Linked DNA regions of Drosophila melanogaster. The protein of the gene in region 1 interacts with the protein of each later gene in a pairwise test. Each region holds a gene or a part of one and is shown on either strand. Other genes may lie near its edges. The genes, in order: ari-2, CG5355, Ubc84D and CG15529.

Region 1 (6,566 bases):
GGTATTTTCGACAGCATCTCGTGGCCGAAGATTTTATTAGAAAGAAAACATTTTTATATAGTATCACTTTACTTTTGCCAAATAAACTTTTTCGTATTCCTTGCTATTTTATGATACTCTTATATGGCAATATGAAATTTTTAATCTTTGAAAATAATGTCATAAAGTACTCAAAATTTTAATATTTCACATTCTAAATTTAATCAAAATTGTATTATGTTAAGGCGCAGTCTAAGCCATCTGGACAAGCTGCCGAAGGCAAAGGTGGCCGAATGGCTGGCCGGGATCGACACCATTATTTGCAGCACGGATGGGGTGCTGTGGCAGGAGAATACCCCCATTGAGGGCTCTGTAGAGGCATTCAATGCCATAATTTCAAAGGGAAAGCGATGTCTCATAGCCACCAACGAGTGCTGCCTAACAAACAAGGATCTGTTCCAGAAGGCCAAGTGCCTGGGCTTCAATGTCAAGGAGCAGGACATTTTCAGCTCGTCGGGTGCCATTGCGAGTTACCTTAGCGACCGGAAGTTTAAGAAGAAAATCCTCGTTTTGGGTGGTGACGGTATCCGCAAAGATCTGAAAGAGGCCGGATTCTGTTCCGTGGTAAACGATCTGCAGCCAAATGACCAGAAAAAAATCGACTTCGTCAGGAGCTTAGTTCTCGATCCGGATGTGGGAGCTGTTTTGGTGGCCAGAGACGACAACATGATAGCGAACGAGTTGCTTGTGGCCTGCAACTATCTTCAAAATCCCAAAGTCTTGTTCCTTACCACTTGCATTGATGGATTCCAGCCATTTGGGAAAAAGAGGATCCCAGATGCCGGATCTCTGGCCTCTGCCATCGAGATAATTGTACAACGCAAGCCTATCGTTTTGGGCAAACCGAATCAGCGGATTTTGGGCAAGTTGATGAAGTCTGGCGAAATAAAGCCCGAAAAGACGCTTGTCATTGGAAACTCGTAAGTTCAATGATTACTTTTATTGAGGATCATACTTTATCCTCTTTCCTTTAGGCTTAAATCAGACATTTTATTTGCAAGTATATGTGGTTTCCAATCATTATTGGTGGGCTGCGATAACGGAGCGATCGAAAAAGCCGAGAAAATTAAAAAAGAGGGAGATGAGAAGAAAATGAAACTTGTTCCAGATGCTTTTCTCTCCGGTCTTGCTTCTTTTGGGGAGTATTTATGCATCTAGGTGATGTCGGGCAAGAAAAGCGATTTCCATATCCAAAAAACATACCCAGCTGACCAAAAAGTAATTTAGATCATATTCAAAATTCAAACTAAGCCGCTCAAAAGCTGAACAGCTGTTTTGTTTCTGAGCACTCCTGTGTGCTAAATGATTTCGGTATTTTGGCTTTTAGCACAAGTCGCGAGTCAGTGCTACCAGTATATTTGTAAATTTTTAGTTTTAAAATTTGTAATCTAAAATAGTAAAGCAAATTGCCAGTTTTCTGTTGAAACTAATAGTTTTGCATCAATAATCGCGAAGAAAAAGTTGAATTAATGTGATAATAAAAAAATACATGTTGTTGGTATATTTTTGGTATTTGATTTGATTGCTTCGTGGTCGCACTGAAAGAAGAAGAGTAATAAAACATCGAACTATCGAAGAACGATATGCCCCGATAGGTTCGGACAAGACAAAGAACAAAATGTTCTCTGCAAAAGCTGTGCTCGCTTAAAAACGCAAAAAGTCAGTGCATCTAGTGCATTGTCAGTGGTGCATAAGATTGTTCTATAAATAGCGAAAAATGAAAATAAACTGCAGGCGAAGTAGAAAAAACACCTTGAGTTGAGTGCAACGGCTGTGCGAGTGTGTGTGCGTGAGAGCGAGAGTGCGCTCGTGTGTGTGTGTACACATGCATGTTGATAAACGAAAATAAAACAAGGGACCGCCCCCCGCCGTAGAATAGCCACCCCGCAAAGTTCATCACCCTAACCAGAATCGGTGGCACTGCATCGCGCTAAATCGGCCACTTTCCATTATCCGCATCCACCGCCCCTCCCGCTCTCTGGGTCCATCATCCACCTCCTGCGAAAACAACAACAGCAACCACCAGCGCCCTTACAACAACTGTTACAAAAGAGCAAGAGAGAAGACACCCCGCACTCACACTCACACGGAAGCAGTGAGTGTCCTCGCCAGAAACTCGAATTCCCAACCAAACATCCCGAATCTGAGGCCCAAATCTTAAGCGCCAATCCGCCGGAATGGACTCGGACATCGAAATGGATATGGAATCGGACAACGACGGGGAGTACGACGACGACTACGACTACTACAACACAGGTAAGTGGAAACTAGTACCTGATCTAGAGGGGCACTTCCCCCTGACAACAATCGGCCATCGATTTAACTGTGGCCAAATTAGGGGTACGAGTGTATCTGTGAGGAAGTACACACACACATGTCGGGCTCTTGGTTTGGTTATTCACCTTTTCGGAAGGAGGCCCGCAAGACCTGGGAATTTGCATTCAGCACTTGACATTCGCCTTGGGTTCCATGACCAAACCCCACACCCCCCATTTGATCTCCGCCCTTCTTCGCTGACCATGAAGCTTAAATTATGGAATTGAACTTGAAACAAACACACACGCACGTAGCTGCACGGCGAGAAAATTGCACTGTGTAATAGGATAAATGTTTAGTTTTAAAATGTCAAATCTAGGCCAAACTAAATGATTACATTTGGTACATTTCCCAAAGCAATTCTAATGATGATTTGATACCTCAATTTAGAGAATTATGTGATAGGGCTTGATTTTCAAATGGTTTTATAACATGAACTCAAATCAATATTGATTTAAAAGGGGCAAAATAATATAAGAATATTACTAAAGACTTGATTTCTCTCAGTGCATGGGCAAGTACAATTGGTAGTTGCGAGTTGGGACTGATTGCGAGGCTTGTGTTTTGTGGCTGGCTTCATTATTGCCCGCCACTCTGCTCACGCTCTTCGTAGCTCCACAACCCACACAAGCACACATTAACACACACACCACGAACACCAGCTCAGGTGCGTGCTCAAGTACGCAGTTGCATTCTGTTGTGTGCCGCTGTTCCGTCAACTCGGTCTCCGCTTCTTGACCTGTCCCTTATTGTTCCGACCTGGCCAAGACGCCCCCTAACTCAACCTTCAATCGGATACCTCATATCGGTAACATCGTAACGTCGAGCACTTCTATGGCAGCCTTGTCGCGCGGTTGTTTTCTCGAATTAGCCAATGTGACTAACAAAATGCAAACATGATTACCGGCTGCATACACTGTAATCCCTTTTGATCCATACATGTCAGATTAACATAGAAGATATTCCCAAAGTAATAATGTTTCGTCGGTTTCAACCGATCAATGTAAGTCAGCCATTGCTTAACTTACAAACTCAACTCAACCTTCGTAACTCTGGAACCAGTTTTGTACAATAAGGGATTAAAAGTGCCCTATTGTATATAACTGCAACTGCTAACTCAGGGTTCGTTTGAAATCCACCCTTGCTGTCTTTCAGTCTGATTTTGGTTTAAAATACAATCAGTTAGCTTAAATAACCAAAAGAAAAAGTGGAAACTGTCCTATCAAAGCATAATAGATTTATGATTTATAAATGTTATAAAGTTCAATTATATTATAATACTAATATCCTTTTCTTCTTCAGGCGAGGACTGCGATGTGGAGCGTCTGGATCCGAAGCGGGCCGACCCGGAGTACTTTGAGTACGAGTGCCTAACCGTCGAGGACATCGAGAAGCTGCTGAACGAGCGCGTGGAGAAGCTGAACACCATCCTGCAGATCACACCCTCGCTGGCCAAGGTGCTGCTGCTGGAGCACCAGTGGAACAATGTGGCCGTCGTTGAAAAGTACCGCCAGGACGCCAATGCACTGCTGGTGACGGCGCGAATCAAGCCGCCATCGGTGGCAGTGACGGATACGGCTTCGACGAGTGCAGCGGCGGCCAGTGCCCAACTGCTCCGACTGGGGAGCAGCGGGTACAAGACGACGGCATCGGCGACACCACAGTACCGCAGCCAGATGTGTCCCGTTTGTGCCAGCTCGCAGCTGGGCGACAAGTTCTACAGCCTGGCGTGTGGGCACTCGTTTTGCAAGGACTGCTGGACCATATACTTCGAGACGCAGATCTTCCAGGGAATCTCCACGCAGATCGGCTGCATGGCCCAGATGTGTAATGTTAGGGTGCCCGAGGACTTGGTGCTGACGCTGGTCACGCGACCCGTTATGCGGGACAAGTACCAGCAGTTTGCATTTAAGGACTACGTCAAGTCACACCCGGAACTCCGCTTCTGTCCCGGGCCCAACTGCCAGATTATTGTGCAATCATCGGAGATCTCCGCCAAACGTGCCATTTGCAAGGCTTGCCACACGGGCTTCTGCTTCCGGTGCGGCATGGACTACCACGCACCCACCGACTGCCAGGTGATCAAGAAGTGGCTGACCAAGTGCGCCGACGACAGCGAAACGGCAAACTACATCAGCGCCCACACCAAAGACTGCCCCAAGTGTCACATCTGCATTGAGAAGAACGGCGGCTGCAACCACATGCAGTGCTTCAACTGCAAGCACGACTTCTGCTGGATGTGCTTGGGCGACTGGAAGACGCACGGCTCCGAGTACTACGAGTGCTCTCGCTACAAGGACAACCCCAACATTGCCAACGAGTCGGTGCACGTGCAGGCGCGCGAGGCGCTGAAGAAGTACCTGCACTACTACGAGCGCTGGGAGAACCACTCCAAGTCTCTGAAACTCGAGCAACAGACGATCGACCGGCTGCGCCAGCGGATCAACTCGAAGGTGATGAACGGCAGCGGCACCTGGATCGACTGGCAATACCTCTTCAACGCGGCGGCACTGCTGGCCAAGTGTCGATACACGCTGCAGTACACCTATCCGTACGCCTATTACATGGAGGCCGGTTCGCGAAAGAATCTCTTTGAGTACCAGCAGGTGAGTCGCAGTTCGGCTATTCTTTAACTGGTTGCCCAATAATGTATTAATTCCGTGCAGGCACAACTGGAGGCCGAAATCGAGAATCTGTCGTGGAAGATAGAGCGCGCCGAGACAACGGACCTGGGTGATCTCGAGAATCAAATGGACATCGCTGAAAAGCGCCGCACCACGCTACTGAAAGACTTCTTCCCAGTGGACGCATAGGCAACCGTCGAGCTTCCAGGGCCACCAGAACGGACAGCCTGTCTTGTTTAGCACAAACACTCTTTGATTGACTGCTGACAGGTCGACGTGACGCGACAGTATAGAGACGCTTATTTAAATTAAATTATACACATATTTACATGTATCCATCTAGTAGTAGGCCCAACGACGTGTAGCTAATTTTTAAATTAAACTAATAATCAAGTGCATATAGACTAGAAAACGTAGCATAGAGCATAGTCGACTACTCGAAGTATAATTACTATAGTTGTGACATTCGAAATCACTCAAAATGATCGGTGTAACTGCAATACAACGCCTTGCGCAGAACGTTAACGATATACAGTATCTATAGCTAAAGCCCTAGCGATACCGATACCGGTAGCTATACCATAACTATAAAACTAACTTTAAATCTAGCAACTGACTAACTGACAAACCAGACGCATTTCAGTGGCCAAGTGTTCCAACAGTTTTCCAAAAACTAGCCCAAACGACCCGATGAAATGCAGAAACAGTAACAATTCTAAATGTATAGCGCCGCAAGTCAAGCAATTATAGATCAAAGACCGCCTAAGCAGATCGGCTCATCGGTTAGACCCTAAGTTTTAAACCTTGTATTAGCCCCGCGTGAACAGCATCAAGTATTCGCAATCTGTATCTCGTAACTAATCGCAGCACATCAATCGAACGCAAAAGTCTTAAGTAAGAACGAAGATAGATACTCCCCGTCCCCGATCCCGTTCCTTTTGATTCTCACTCGATTCTCGATTAACTTTGTAAGCTGAATCATAAATTATATTCTAGGATTACGCTATGTATGTATGCTTATGCGACTGAATTTGAATTAAATTTACACTAGATATACAACTATTCAACTGACTTTTCGACTGTGGGCTGCAAGCTTACGATTTGGGTCTTGTGCTTAAAGCTTTGGAGAAGCTCATACGAAGCTTGGATTGAGTGTTTTAAGGATAAGCTTTCACTCAAGTTTCAAGTTTGGGTTTTGAGCCGAGTTTATTTTTTTTAGTGATTGAGTACGAGCTATATTCCAACTTATCTTCCTTGATTTCGTTGTTATTCAGATTGGATGTGCTTAGTTAGTCTTCGATGATGTTTTTGCTATTATTTTTTACCCTTTTTATTGCCGAACAGTGAACTCTTTCTGCTGCTCTTCCGGCTCTTTCGGCTCTTCCGGCTCTTCCTGCTCATCCGACTCATCCTAACATCAGGCGCCAAAGGTGGTTTCTGCTTCGCAAGTTGGCTGGCTAAGGTGAACAACCGGCACTCGGAATGCTCCTTCAGCAGACTGTTGGCGAACTTCTTGACTCCCGATATCTTGGTCACCCTCACGTTGTTCATATTTTCCACTTTCTTGGCGGGATAGACCTCCACTTC
Region 2 (5,382 bases), on another chromosome or scaffold:
TATTGTGATTTGTCCACTGGCATCTTCGTGTATCTTAAAGTTGCTGTTCTTGTTGAACGGGTCCAGCAGATCGAAGATGTCCTCGTTGTACAATTCGATGTACTGAACAGCCAAACTGAACTGCGGACTTCCACCAGCCGCTGGATGTTCTGAAGTGCTGGATCCCTCCAGTTGTTCGATACCACTGAATATATGACGAACAGCCCGTGGAATAATGCCAAGCTGAACGGAATCGGATGACTCCGACTCGTGGTCGAAACCAGTGCCCATTGTATACGTTTTTCCCGATCCTGTTTGCCCGTAGGCGAGTACGGTGGCATTATAGCCATGGAGGGTACTATCTACTAATTTTTCCACGCAGTCCGAGTATATATCACACTGAAATGGTTAATAAAGGCTAATGAAACTTAAGACAAGGTGGAAATTAGTATGACAACTTTACCTGATTGGAATTGGTATCAAAAACATAGTCGAACGTAAAGGCTTTGTCAGATCCAAGAAAAATCTGAGGCTCTCCAAGAGTGACGGTCGTGCAGATACGACACATATCTATTAGCTCCCTCGAGTTTTGAGGTCGGATTCTGAAAAAATATACAATATTATATGCTTTTAGGCGCACTTAACAGATATTCAAATTTAAACTTTTAGAATTTCAAGCTCTTTTATGGTCATAGTTATTGTTTTTTGAATTGTAATAATCTTACCTGACAGCAACACGTACTGAACTATCCTTATTTATGGAGTCCACTTCGGAAATCATATTGCAATCTGAAAACAATTAATGTGAATTAAATTAAATTCGCAATATATTTAACACCCGGATATTATCTAGAAGGCCGTGCTTAAGTCATACACCTTATGAAATACTCAACAAAATATTTAGTTACAAGGTCACTTCTAACAAAATTGTTAACTCAGCGAAAATAAATAGATGTCATAGGAAACCCGTAGAAAATCGCCCATTGTTATGAACTAATACTACTAATCCAACTGCACTGTATAAAACTGAATAAGTTCTGTATTACCTTTTAGATCAACATAATAACTAGTTAGCTAAGTTAATACATTCAAAATGTTTGTTTATGCATACAAGCTTAGGTACATCCATATGCGCCTACAAGTTGCTGATCAAGAAAAACATACATATGGAAGGAAAATTTGTGAAAACTTCGATTTCCCAGCACAATTGATGTACGAAAAGTTCAAGCAAAGCTACATACCGAACAAATAAAGCGCTTACTGGTGGCTAACAAATTAAACGAACTAAAAACAGCGCGGAATTCCAATTCAATTCATTTACTCGGTCCGTTTGACTTGATTCGATTGTGTTTATATTCCGACTCGACTCGCCTCCCGATACCAAAACATATGGTTTAACAGAGGTAATCTGTTCACGGACCGATTAATTTCGAGCCACAGTTGGCTGTGTCACACCTGACATTTGCGGTATTTTATTGGGGGTGCTCTTGCATGAATTTCTAAAACTAAAGCAATGGTATTTTCTATACGTGTGCGGTATATTTTCAAGAATAAAGCTACTACCTTGGTGCAGCATTTCGTACCGACTAAAGGAACTTGGTTTATATTGCTTCACCAGTTGTTATTGTATTTTATAGTTAAATTAAACAGTGGTTTTAAGATTTAATCAAGATTGATTTCAACACGAATACGTAAATAAAAGCTAACAGTTGCTAAGTTTACCTATATATTAAAATGTTTTTCAAAATCTGTCATAGCATCTCGTTTTGAGCATTCAAATATTTAAATAAATAATAATATAATATGTAAAATTACAAGAGAAATTTCTTTTTAAATTAGTTATAAGGAGGCGGCGATATATAGTTCGCAGTAGCAAAATTTAAGGAGTGCCCCTAACACCTATCGAAACTATCGCAAGTTAGTGTCCCATTTTTGCATTGATAATTTTGCAAATGCATACCATTTTTCGAGGACCGCTGCTCTACCGCCGAATTTGTCAAATAGTTGTACCCAAAACGCTGCCCAGAAATTACATTCATCGAGAATTGCCTTCAAATCGTAAGTATACACATATATATATATAGCTAATGGGGATGAGTTGCAAAAGCCGAAAAGCGAAAGATTAATACATATATTCTCATACGTGTAATAAATCCAACAAAGTTACCAGAGCCATGCCAAGTACTTTGTCCGCTAAGCTCGCGTATCCAGTTGCTCGGAAGGATGAAAGCGTGGCAGAGGACTTTCATGGCACCCAGATCAAGGATGTGTACCGCTGGCTCGAAGATCCGGACTCCACGGAAACCGAGGAATTCGTGAATGCCCAGAACAGCATAAGCCGGCCTTTCCTCGAGAATGGAGAGGAGTGGAAGAAACTGAACACGAAGCTTACCAAGCTGTGGAACTATCCCAAATACGGATGTCCCATGCGTTATGGCAACTATTACTATTACTTTATGAACACTGGCCTGCAAAACCAGAGCGTCATGTACCAGCAGAAATCGCTGGGCGACGAGAGTGAAAGCAAGGTGTTCCTGGATCCGAACACCCTGTCCGAGGACGGTACCATCGCCCTGACTCAGAAGGCCTTCTCCGAGGATGGCAAGTACATGGCCTACGGCCTGAGTGAAAGTGGATCCGATTGGATCAAGATTCTCATTCGAGATGCCGAAACGGGCAAGGATCTGAGCGAGGTCCTTGAAAAGGTCAAGTTCTCGGAGATTTCGTGGACAAAAGACAATAAGGGATTCTTTTATGGTGTGAGTACTGGACTCTTTCGTCCTGGTAATTCAAATTCAAGTCGTTTATTTCTTAGAGATACCCTGACCAAGATGGAAAAACCGATGGATCTGAGACCAAACAGAATGAGAATCAAAAGTTGTACTATCACCGGGTGGGTGAGAGCCAGGATAAAGACACACTGGTGGTCGAATTTCCGGAAGAGCCTTCGTGGCGCATGTAATGATCTTAAATTGTATGGTGTTGAAACATAGATTATAATCAATTTTCCAACTTTAGCCAATCCACCGTCTCGGATTGTGGAAAATACCTGATTCTGGCCATTGTTAAAGATTGCCGTGACAACATTGTGTTCTATGCTGATCTTACGCCAGGTGCGGAAATAACTTCCAAACTGAATGTCAAGAAAATTGTGGAAAAATTCGAGGCGGACTACGATGTATGTAATGTTTTCACAGTCTTTAAAATAGTAATGTATACATGTTTATATCATTATTTCAGTACATTACCAATGAAGGCTCGAAGATATTCTTCCGTACAAATAAGAATGCACCAAATTACCAAGTTATTGCCATAGACTTCAATAATTCAGCGGAGGACAAATGGGAAACGCTTATAGCCGTAGGTTTAGTTTGTTTTTAAACGTAGATAAGATTAATCACGACTACTATACGTTTTATAGGAGCACAAGTCGGATGTTTTGGACTGGGTTAAGTGCGTTGATAATGATAAACTGCTCGTTTGTTACATCAGGGATGTGAAGGTAAATAATAACCTATTAGTCATTCATCTATATGCCTCATTCCATATTCGTTCTTCAGAGCGTTTTGCAAGTGAATTCCCTAAAGGATGGCACCCTACTGCGCGAATTCGACTTGGATATCGGCACCATTGTAGGCACATCGGGAGAGAAGAAATATTCTGAAATATTCTACAACTTCTCGTCCTTTTTGAATCCCGGCTCCATTTATCGATATGATTTCAAGACACCTGACAAGTCGCCATCAGTATTCCGCGAAATCAAACTGAATTTGGAAGGATTCCGTCGCGAGGATTACGCCGTTGAGCAGATATTCTACAAGAGCAAGGATGGCACCAAGGTTCCCATGTTCATAATTAGGAAAAAACGTGATAGTGTTGAGCCGCGACCATGTCTGCTTTACGGATACGGAGGCTTCAACATCAGCATGCTGCCTTCCTTCGGACTCTCTGGGTATGTTGAGAAATACTTTTTAAAAGTTAGCATGTATATATGTGAACACATCCTTCAATCTCTGCAGGCTTATGTTCATCGACACATTCGATGGTGTGCTCGCCTATCCGAATCTGCGAGGTGGTGGCGAATATGGCGAGAAGTGGCACAACGGCGGTCGCCTGCTGAACAAGCAGAACGTGTTCGATGACTTCCAAGCAGCTGCCGAGTACTTGATCGAGAATAAGTACACGACCAAGGATCGTTTGGCCATCCAAGGTGGCTCCAACGGAGGCCTTTTGGTCGGCTCGTGTATCAACCAACGTCCGGATTTGTTTGGAGCTGCTGTGGCTCAAGTTGGGTAAGTAGATAGCCTGTTTGTTGTGACCAAGTGAGAAATATATTGATTTCATAGTGTCATGGATATGTTGCGCTTCCACAAGTTCACCATTGGCCACGCTTGGTGCTCGGATTATGGAAACCCATCGGAGAAGGAGCACTTTGACAACCTGTACAAGTTCTCGCCGCTGCATAATGTGCACACTCCGAAGGGCGCCGAAACGGAATACCCATCGACTTTGATCCTGACCGCCGACCACGACGATCGTGTCAGCCCTTTGCATTCGCTCAAGTTCATTGCGGCCCTCCAGGAAGCTGTTCGCGACTCGGAATTCCAGAAAAATCCCGTTCTGTTGCGCGTCTACCAGAAGGCGGGCCATGGCGCTGGCAAGCCGACATCGAAGAGAATCGAGGAAGCCACCGATATACTGACTTTCTTGTCCAAAAGCCTTAACGTCGACATAGTTAACGTTTGAGTGGTTAACCATAAACAAATTGCATTTCTCAAGGTCGAGTAAAAATCGAGTATACAAAATGTATTCAATATTTTCACAAATAAACCATACACCCTAAATGAAACTTTAGTGTTTTGCTAAACAATTACTAACCACGCTAGTGCTAACTAACAATAAAAAAAAAGGAAAATTTCAGCGATTGAATTTATTATTCAATTACTACCTTTATTTGATTTCTGGAAACGTACATGATCTTATGTAGCAAAATTACTTTTCCTCTGGTTTGCTGAAGACAAAGGTCAGGTTGCACTTGCCGCAGTAGTGACGATCTTCGTGGGCAGCCATGAAGACGCCGGCGCCGCAGTTCTCACCAGGGCACTCGCGACGGAGACGGTGGATCTTGCCGTTCTCGTCAACCTATGGAAAGGAAAGAGCATAGAAAGTGATTAAATACTGAGATCGTACACATGTTCATTCAATATAGGGCACTGGTAAAGTCACTCTGATATCCAAATCTTAAGCCAATGAGCACAAGACCAAGACTCAAGAATTCCAAGAACAGATCAGAATGTTTTCGGTATGGTGTCGGTAGATTGTTGTGTGTACCTTGTAGTATTTCAGGACAGCTAGCTTGACCTTCTTCCTCTTGTGCTTGATTTTCTTGGGAGTGGAGTAGTT
Region 3 (2,921 bases), on another chromosome or scaffold:
GAAAGAAGATGTTGTTCTCGTCACGATACAGTACCGACTTGGGGCTTTGGGTAATCTACTGTGTGCGTATGCGCAATATTTTGACTAAACATTATTGTACCTACACAGGATTTATGAGTCTTAAGTCCCCCGAGCTAAATGTACCAGGAAATGCTGGCCTCAAGGATCAGGTGCTGGCCCTCAAGTGGATCAAGAACAATTGCGCTAGTTTCGGCGGAGATCCCAACTGCATCACTGTTTTTGGAGAGAGTGCTGGAGGCGCCTCCACTCACTACATGATGCTAACCGATCAGACCCAAGGGCTCTTTCATCGCGGCATCTTGCAGTCGGGCAGTGCCATTTGTCCTTGGGCCTACAACGGCGACATTACCCATAATCCCTACAGGATAGCCAAGCTGGTTGGCTACAAGGGCGAGGACAACGACAAGGATGTGCTGGAGTTCTTGCAGAACGTAAAGGCCAAGGATCTTATTCGCGTGGAGGAAAATGTCCTGACACTGGAGGAACGCATGAACAAGATAATGTTTGCCTTTGGCCCATCCCTGGAACCATTCTCCACGCCCGAATGTGTGATATCCAAGCCTCCAAAGGAGATGATGAAGACCGCCTGGAGTAACTCCATCCCCATGTTTATAGGAAACACTTCGTACGAGGGCCTGCTGTGGGTTCCAGGTTAGATATTGGGAATTTTTTTGAATTTTCTTTCAATAAGTAAATTTAATTTTATTTCACAGAGGTAAAGCTTATGCCGCAGGTGCTGCAGCAGCTTGATGCTGGCACACCTTTCATTCCCAAAGAATTGCTGGCCACGGAGCCCAGTAAAGAAAAACTGGATTCGTGGAGTGCACAGATTCGAGATGTTCATCGCACTGGCTCAGAAAGCACCCCAGATAATTACATGGATGTAAGTGTCGTCCAATTAGGTGCTTACATAATCATAAGCTGGTAATTTATTTCAGCTCTGTTCGATTTACTACTTCGTGTTTCCGGCCCTGAGGGTGGTCCATTCCCGACACGCGTACGCGGCTGGAGCTCCAGTATATTTCTATCGATATGACTTCGACTCCGAGGAGCTCATTTTTCCGTACCGCATTATGCGGTTGGGACGCGGTGTCAAGGGGGTCAGCCATGCCGACGATTTGAGCTACCAATTCAGCAGCCTGCTGGCTCGCCGGTTGCCGAAGGAAAGTCGCGAGTACAGGAACATCGAACGAACCGTGGGCATCTGGACCCAGTTTGCTGCCACGGGTAATCCCTACAGCGAGAAGATCAACGGTATGGACACTCTGACCATTGATCCAGTTCGCAAATCCGACGAGGTCATCAAGTGCCTCAACATCAGTGATGACCTGAAGTTCATCGATCTGCCTGAGTGGCCCAAATTGAAGGTCTGGGAGAGCCTCTATGACGACAACAAAGATTTATTGTTTTAAATTTAACTTACTGTTCTGTACAGCCTAACAAAGAAGTCTCTAGAAACTGTAAATAGGTCAAAATGCTTTATAAAATATATTCTGCAATTGGATTGTTTTGCTTTATAACTAGTTTGCCCAATGATTGCATGTGGATGAGAAATCCTAGTTTAGGTGAGATTTAAAAATATATATTTCTATTTATCTCTATATTTACCTCAGTTTACGCCATTTATTTAAATGCTTGATAACTTCTTAATAAGTTTGAATATAAAAACAATGTTCGACATGCCCTTTTGACTTTACTGTCAATAGCAATAGGAAAATTAAATTTTTAGACTTTTTTAAATTAACAAGTTTTTTTCCGAGATCTAGGGAAAACAAAGGAAAGGAACTCTGATCCCGTTGATAGAATGGCTGCCACTCGTCGTCTGACACGGGAACTCTCCGATCTGGTTGAGGCCAAGATGAGCACTCTGCGCAACATCGAGAGTAGCGATGAGTCCCTGCTGATGTGGACGGGTCTTTTGGTTCCGGAAAAGGCGCCCTACAACAAGGGCGCCTTCCGCATCGAAATCAACTTCCCGCCCCAGTATCCCTTTATGCCACCAAAGATCCTATTCAAGACGAAAATCTATCACCCCAACGTGGATGAGAAGGGGGAGGTGTGCCTGCCCATCATCAGCACAGACAACTGGAAGCCCACAACGCGCACAGAGCAGGTGCTCCAGGCCCTGGTAGCCATCGTCCACAACCCGGAGCCAGAACATCCGCTTCGTTCTGACCTGGCCGAGGAGTTCGTAAGGGAGCACAAGAAGTTCATGAAGACGGCCGAAGAGTTCACCAAGAAGAATGCGGAGAAGCGACCAGAGTGAAGTCAGCCGCAGCTCACATTTATTTGTATATCAAAATTATATATAGTTTGGACCATCAATTAAAACTTGTCAGACATAAGTTGTCCATATTTTGAATGTTCGCTAAGATATATGTATGGCGCATTAAATGGACGGTAATTCGATAAAAAAAATGGGCAAGAAAAAAAGTACAGTTAAAAAGAAATTCAAAATATTTTTCAAAATTGAGGTAAAAAAATTGTGGCCGTTGGTAAGCGTGGAATACATGTTGTTGGTTTATTGCTACAATCGTAGCCAACTCTTGGCTACTTGGCGGTGATTGTGGCCGGTGTCTAGCAATCTACTAAAGAAAACTTGTGCTTCAGCGCCTGTAGAATCTGCATGCTTGATTTCCCATTTCTAGCCATTATAGTTCCCGAGTTCACTCGGATATTGATCCTATATATGTACACATATAATTGATACCTATTACTTGATATACCCCTTTGTCTACGAGTAACGAATTTAATCAAATTACATTAATGTATCATTAACAGTAACAACAGGCAACCGCATTTGGCAATATCGTATTGGTAATTATAGCAATCATATTTACCTAATACAGTTACACATATACGCATAAGCTATCAAATATTGACCACATTCATCACTTTGG
Region 4 (3,835 bases), on another chromosome or scaffold:
TCGACTGGGAATATCGTTTTATTGACATTTACGTGCACGTGACTGGCCTGCGAAGATGTTTGCCTTCTGTCTAGCGAATAGTCACTGCTTTAGATGTGCAAACAAAATCGCGATGCTTGCTGCAGCCAATCCGGCGTATACGTAATGAACTGAGCAGCACTCTTTTTGCCCGGATCTGTAAGTTTTAGAACCATATCTATGGGTCCACGTGCTGGCAATTTGCACGCCCATTTTGGGTTTTACAAGGAGATTTGAATGCAATCGATTCGGAGCGTAGTCAGCTCGCACAATTTATGACCGCACTTTAATTGCTTTTGAATTTTAAGAAATATTTAAATTGTGCGAGAGACAGGGAAGTGCGAGTGACAGAGACAGCGGGAGAGCTTCACCACAGCCGTTGGTAAGCTTACGGTAAAACTTCGAAAGGTTTGTGTCTCAGCTAATGCTTAACGCTTTAAATGATTATTTAATCTTTAACATGGATAATTTCCTTGTAAAAATAAAACGATTATTTTGGATGGAAAATGAGAAAAACTAGTTGATCAAAATAATCCATGTTTCCAAGTGGTTTTTTCAATATTTCTTGACTGAAAATGGTCGTAAAGTAAAAATAATTACTGTTTTGTGCAGCTAATTACCAATGCTTACGATCCCTGTCCCGTTTTTTCGAATTAAGAAAAAAAAATTTTTTTGTCAATTTTCGAATTTTTATAAGGGGTAACATCATCAAATTTTGCAAAAAATCGCAAAAATTTAAAGTTTCCAAATTTGAACACTAATCGATTGGGAAGTTAATTAGGAGTAAAATAAGATATGCCACTCCACTTTTGAACCATTATTTTCAAAGTTGTGTCCAAAAAACGCATTATTTTTTAACCAAAAACAGGGAAATCGAGCTTGGACCAAAAAGTCATATTTACAATTTATAGGATTTATAATTATAGAATTTTTTGAATGCCTATCAAATGGGACTTAACCAGCACTATCAACAGCTCATTAATAAAAACAACAGATCAGCAAAACAAACTCAGTTCTCAAACTTTTTAGCAGAGCGGGCAAACGGCTCAGATCCATATGTTGGCCACTCGTATCCATTCGGTCTCGGTTATGTAGAGCCGCAGAAATGCGATATGGGGAACCCCTCCCCACCAAAAATTGCAGGCACATTCAATGAATTCCACAGTCAGTCGGAAAAATGGTGGGGGGGGGGGGTATGGAAAATGCATGGGTGCTAAACGTTTAATAATTGTCGTTGCCCACATGTACACTGCAAAGAATTGTACACTCAAAAATAATCCTATTTTCGTTATGTACGTTTAAACTGCGTTCTTTCAGTGGATCTCTCTATATATAAAGACATTACAGATAATTAAATTGTGAGATATTAAGCACAGAAAGGTTGACTGCATTTCTCATTGTGTATAAGAACAGAGAGCTGATCTCCCCACTGCACTCGGAGTATCCAGTTACTCGCCGGGCTTCAAACTATCCGAGTTCCCGCGTTCTTGCCAATGTGAATTTTGTTTACCAGCCATATCCATATCTTATTTAAATATGAACATTTCTGCCGCCCCACAACCGAGCAGTAGACACATTTTAATTAATAAGCACTGCCAGACGAGACGGCTTCTGTTCTCGGGCTCTGAATTCTGGGTTCTGGTTCTGGTTCCTCGTCTGGTTCTGGTCACAAAGTAGTCAGTCTTCAGCGCAGCTCGATAGCGAAAGATGTTTGCCGGGAGCGGCGGTCTCAGTGCCACCGATCCATCTAATCCAAGGTCGCGGGAATAGGACTGCTCTACTGTGTCGTTTGGCGCCATGTGCTGCTGGTGTGCACGTGTCTACTGGACGGTTCTGCACAATCTCCTGGCTCGCATGATGGACAGCCTGATGGAAGTCAGATCGCCCACCTTCTGTAGCTGCTGCTTCGGTTATCAGCGGCAGGCCAGTCAGGAAGGTGACGTCGCAGAACGGGTTTCCAGCACCGACGACGATCCACAACAGCAGCCCCGTGAGGATTACGTCATTGTGGGTGAGTACGCATCGATCTCTCGGTTTCAAAACAAAGCCAAATCCCCAGAGTGACGGCATATAAACCAAAACAGAAAGCACGATACAGTTCGTAGAGCTAAATTTAACTCGAATTTAAGTTTAAATGATCGAAATTTGATAAATAATAGATAACTACAGAGGCATAAATTAATGTAGAGTAATACTCAATTAGAAGATTAAGCGGTAAATAGGTCCAATTACTAATACAACATTTTTAATTCCGCAAAGACGATGCCGATGTCAACTACGCGGAGATTGAGGAGAGGCATGTGGAAAAGGAGCAGTACTACTTCACAGTGGATCGTCCTACGGCGGAGCGAATGCTCCATGGACGAGAGGACGGGTCCTGCCTGGTTCGACCTTTCAAGGCAGCCGACCAGTGGATCCGTTACATAGTGAGCATCTGGGCGGCGGATCAGTACTATCACCTGTTCATAAGGCAAGTGGATAGGAGACAACGCTATGCCATTGGTCAGAAGAAGTCTCAGGAGCGCTGCTTCGGATCCCCCTCGGAAATCGTGGAGTTCTACACGGAGCATCCACTTCTCTGCACCAACAAGGTCCGGAGCCAGTGCGTCCAACTCCGTCCCATCAGTTACGCTTAGCTAGGGGTCAAATCTTTATTGCATAAGAGAGGGCAAGTATGTACAAATGGGGTTAGCTTAAGACGATGCTCAGGTGGCCACCACCGCCTTGAAGGCGCACTGGTTGTTCTGCATCAGGGCGGGCCAGAGGAAGGCTTTTATCAGATCCGATCGCCGGTCCGCCTGGGGATGCCGCTCGTGTTTCTCGGGCCTCAGGAAACCTGCATGGGATTTACGTAGGTGTAAGATTGTTAAACGATTAAAGAGTAGCTTAAAACCCACCCAGGTTGAAGTCCATGTCCAGGTAGTACGGCGCCTTCTGGTTGATCATCCTCCAGGCCAGTCGGACACAGGCACTGACGTAGTGCGTCAACGGGGGGCAGGACTCCAGGCAGGGGTACTCGTGCAGAGTAGATAGCACCTGGTTGAACACCGACCGCTCGATCTCGCCCAACGGGAAACTCTCGGCGGTCTCGAAGAGGTGCTGGCGAACGGATCTGTCCAGGGACAAGGTGGTCTCACTGCTGCTGTCCAAGGGGCAATTCAGGACTCGCCGAACTTCCAGGACCTTTCGCTCCCGCATTCCGTGGCACAGGCGGAAGGAGAGCTACACAAGTACCAATAAGTTAAGAAAATTATCAATTAGATGACTATCTAATTAGACTTACTTATGAATGAATAAATAGTTTTTCGAAAATCATAAATATGTGACTTATTATTATCAACTAATCTTGATGGTACCATTTCCCTGCAAAAGTGTCGTTCATCTGAGATCGAAAGTGATTCAAATCCCAAGCGCCTACGTAATTTTCTGACACCCTGGGGGCTCCACTTTCCCTCACATTTTCACTGCACCAACGCCTAATCATCCTCTAGTGCGAATTCGATCTTGCAAAATTGATATTTTGCAATCGCAGTTTGTGGTCCGACAGGATTTAAAGCATCCAGAGCCCACGGGCTTGGCTGGAAATAATTGATGGCCAAGCACTTGAAAATTGAAAGTAATCTTCGCTGGATGAATTGGTCTCACAGTTTGAGAGTCATTGTGCTGTGCTAAATTTCCAAACGAAAGCAGTGCAAGCAGTTCGTACGCTGAGCTACTTCAAGATCAAGTTTATCAGCTTTTGACCTGCCAAATGCCAATTGGAAGAGTTCGTCCCAATTTTAAAACAATCGCTATTTTTTCACTTTTGACAAGGGCT

What was found.
Region 2: the proteins of ari-2 (region 1) and CG5355 interact in a two-hybrid assay, tested with the Drosophila melanogaster proteins (one large-scale study listed by BioGRID).
Region 3: the proteins of ari-2 (region 1) and Ubc84D interact in a two-hybrid assay, tested with the Drosophila melanogaster proteins (one large-scale study listed by BioGRID).
Region 4: the proteins of ari-2 (region 1) and CG15529 interact in a two-hybrid assay, tested with the Drosophila melanogaster proteins (one large-scale study listed by BioGRID).

Annotation. Positions count from the first base shown.
Region 1 is NT_033778.4:22,211,225-22,217,790, forward strand, and holds ari-2 (ariadne 2), read left to right. Parts: upstream 1-1,610; 5' UTR 1,611-2,216; coding exon 2,217-2,295; intron 2,296-3,657; coding exon 3,658-4,961; intron 4,962-5,021; coding exon 5,022-5,168; 3' UTR 5,169-6,040; downstream 6,041-6,566. Other genes in the region: CG11291 (uncharacterized protein), read left to right, coding at 217-959, 1,014-1,197; CG30278 (uncharacterized protein), read right to left, coding at 6,294-6,566.
Region 2 is NT_033779.5:10,409,980-10,415,361, reverse strand, and holds CG5355 (uncharacterized protein), read left to right. Parts: upstream 1-1,898; 5' UTR 1,899-1,931; coding exon 1,932-2,037; intron 2,038-2,142; coding exon 2,143-2,738; intron 2,739-2,794; coding exon 2,795-2,937; intron 2,938-2,997; coding exon 2,998-3,157; intron 3,158-3,219; coding exon 3,220-3,339; intron 3,340-3,400; coding exon 3,401-3,481; intron 3,482-3,539; coding exon 3,540-3,931; intron 3,932-3,998; coding exon 3,999-4,271; intron 4,272-4,325; coding exon 4,326-4,725; 3' UTR 4,726-4,825; downstream 4,826-5,382. Other genes in the region: Klp31E (Kinesin-like protein at 31E), read right to left, coding at 1-378, 443-581, 705-760; RpS27A (ribosomal protein S27A), read right to left, coding at 4,972-5,121, 5,311-5,382.
Region 3 is NT_033777.3:7,518,263-7,521,183, reverse strand, and holds Ubc84D (ubiquitin conjugating enzyme 84D), read left to right. Parts: upstream 1-1,727; 5' UTR 1,728-1,825; coding exon 1,826-2,287; 3' UTR 2,288-2,364; downstream 2,365-2,921. Other genes in the region: alpha-Est7 (alpha-Esterase-7), read left to right, coding at 1-50, 109-672, 735-904, 960-1,433. UniProt on the Drosophila melanogaster protein: Catalyzes the covalent attachment of ubiquitin to other proteins.
Region 4 is NT_033777.3:30,150,366-30,154,200, forward strand, and holds CG15529 (uncharacterized protein), read left to right. Parts: upstream 1-1,693; 5' UTR 1,694-1,815; coding exon 1,816-2,029; intron 2,030-2,277; coding exon 2,278-2,654; 3' UTR 2,655-2,723; coding exon of another isoform or gene 2,724-2,854; 3' UTR 2,855-2,915; coding exon of another isoform or gene 2,916-3,240; 3' UTR 3,241-3,334; downstream 3,335-3,835. Other genes in the region: CG11498 (uncharacterized protein), read right to left, coding at 2,724-2,854, 2,916-3,240.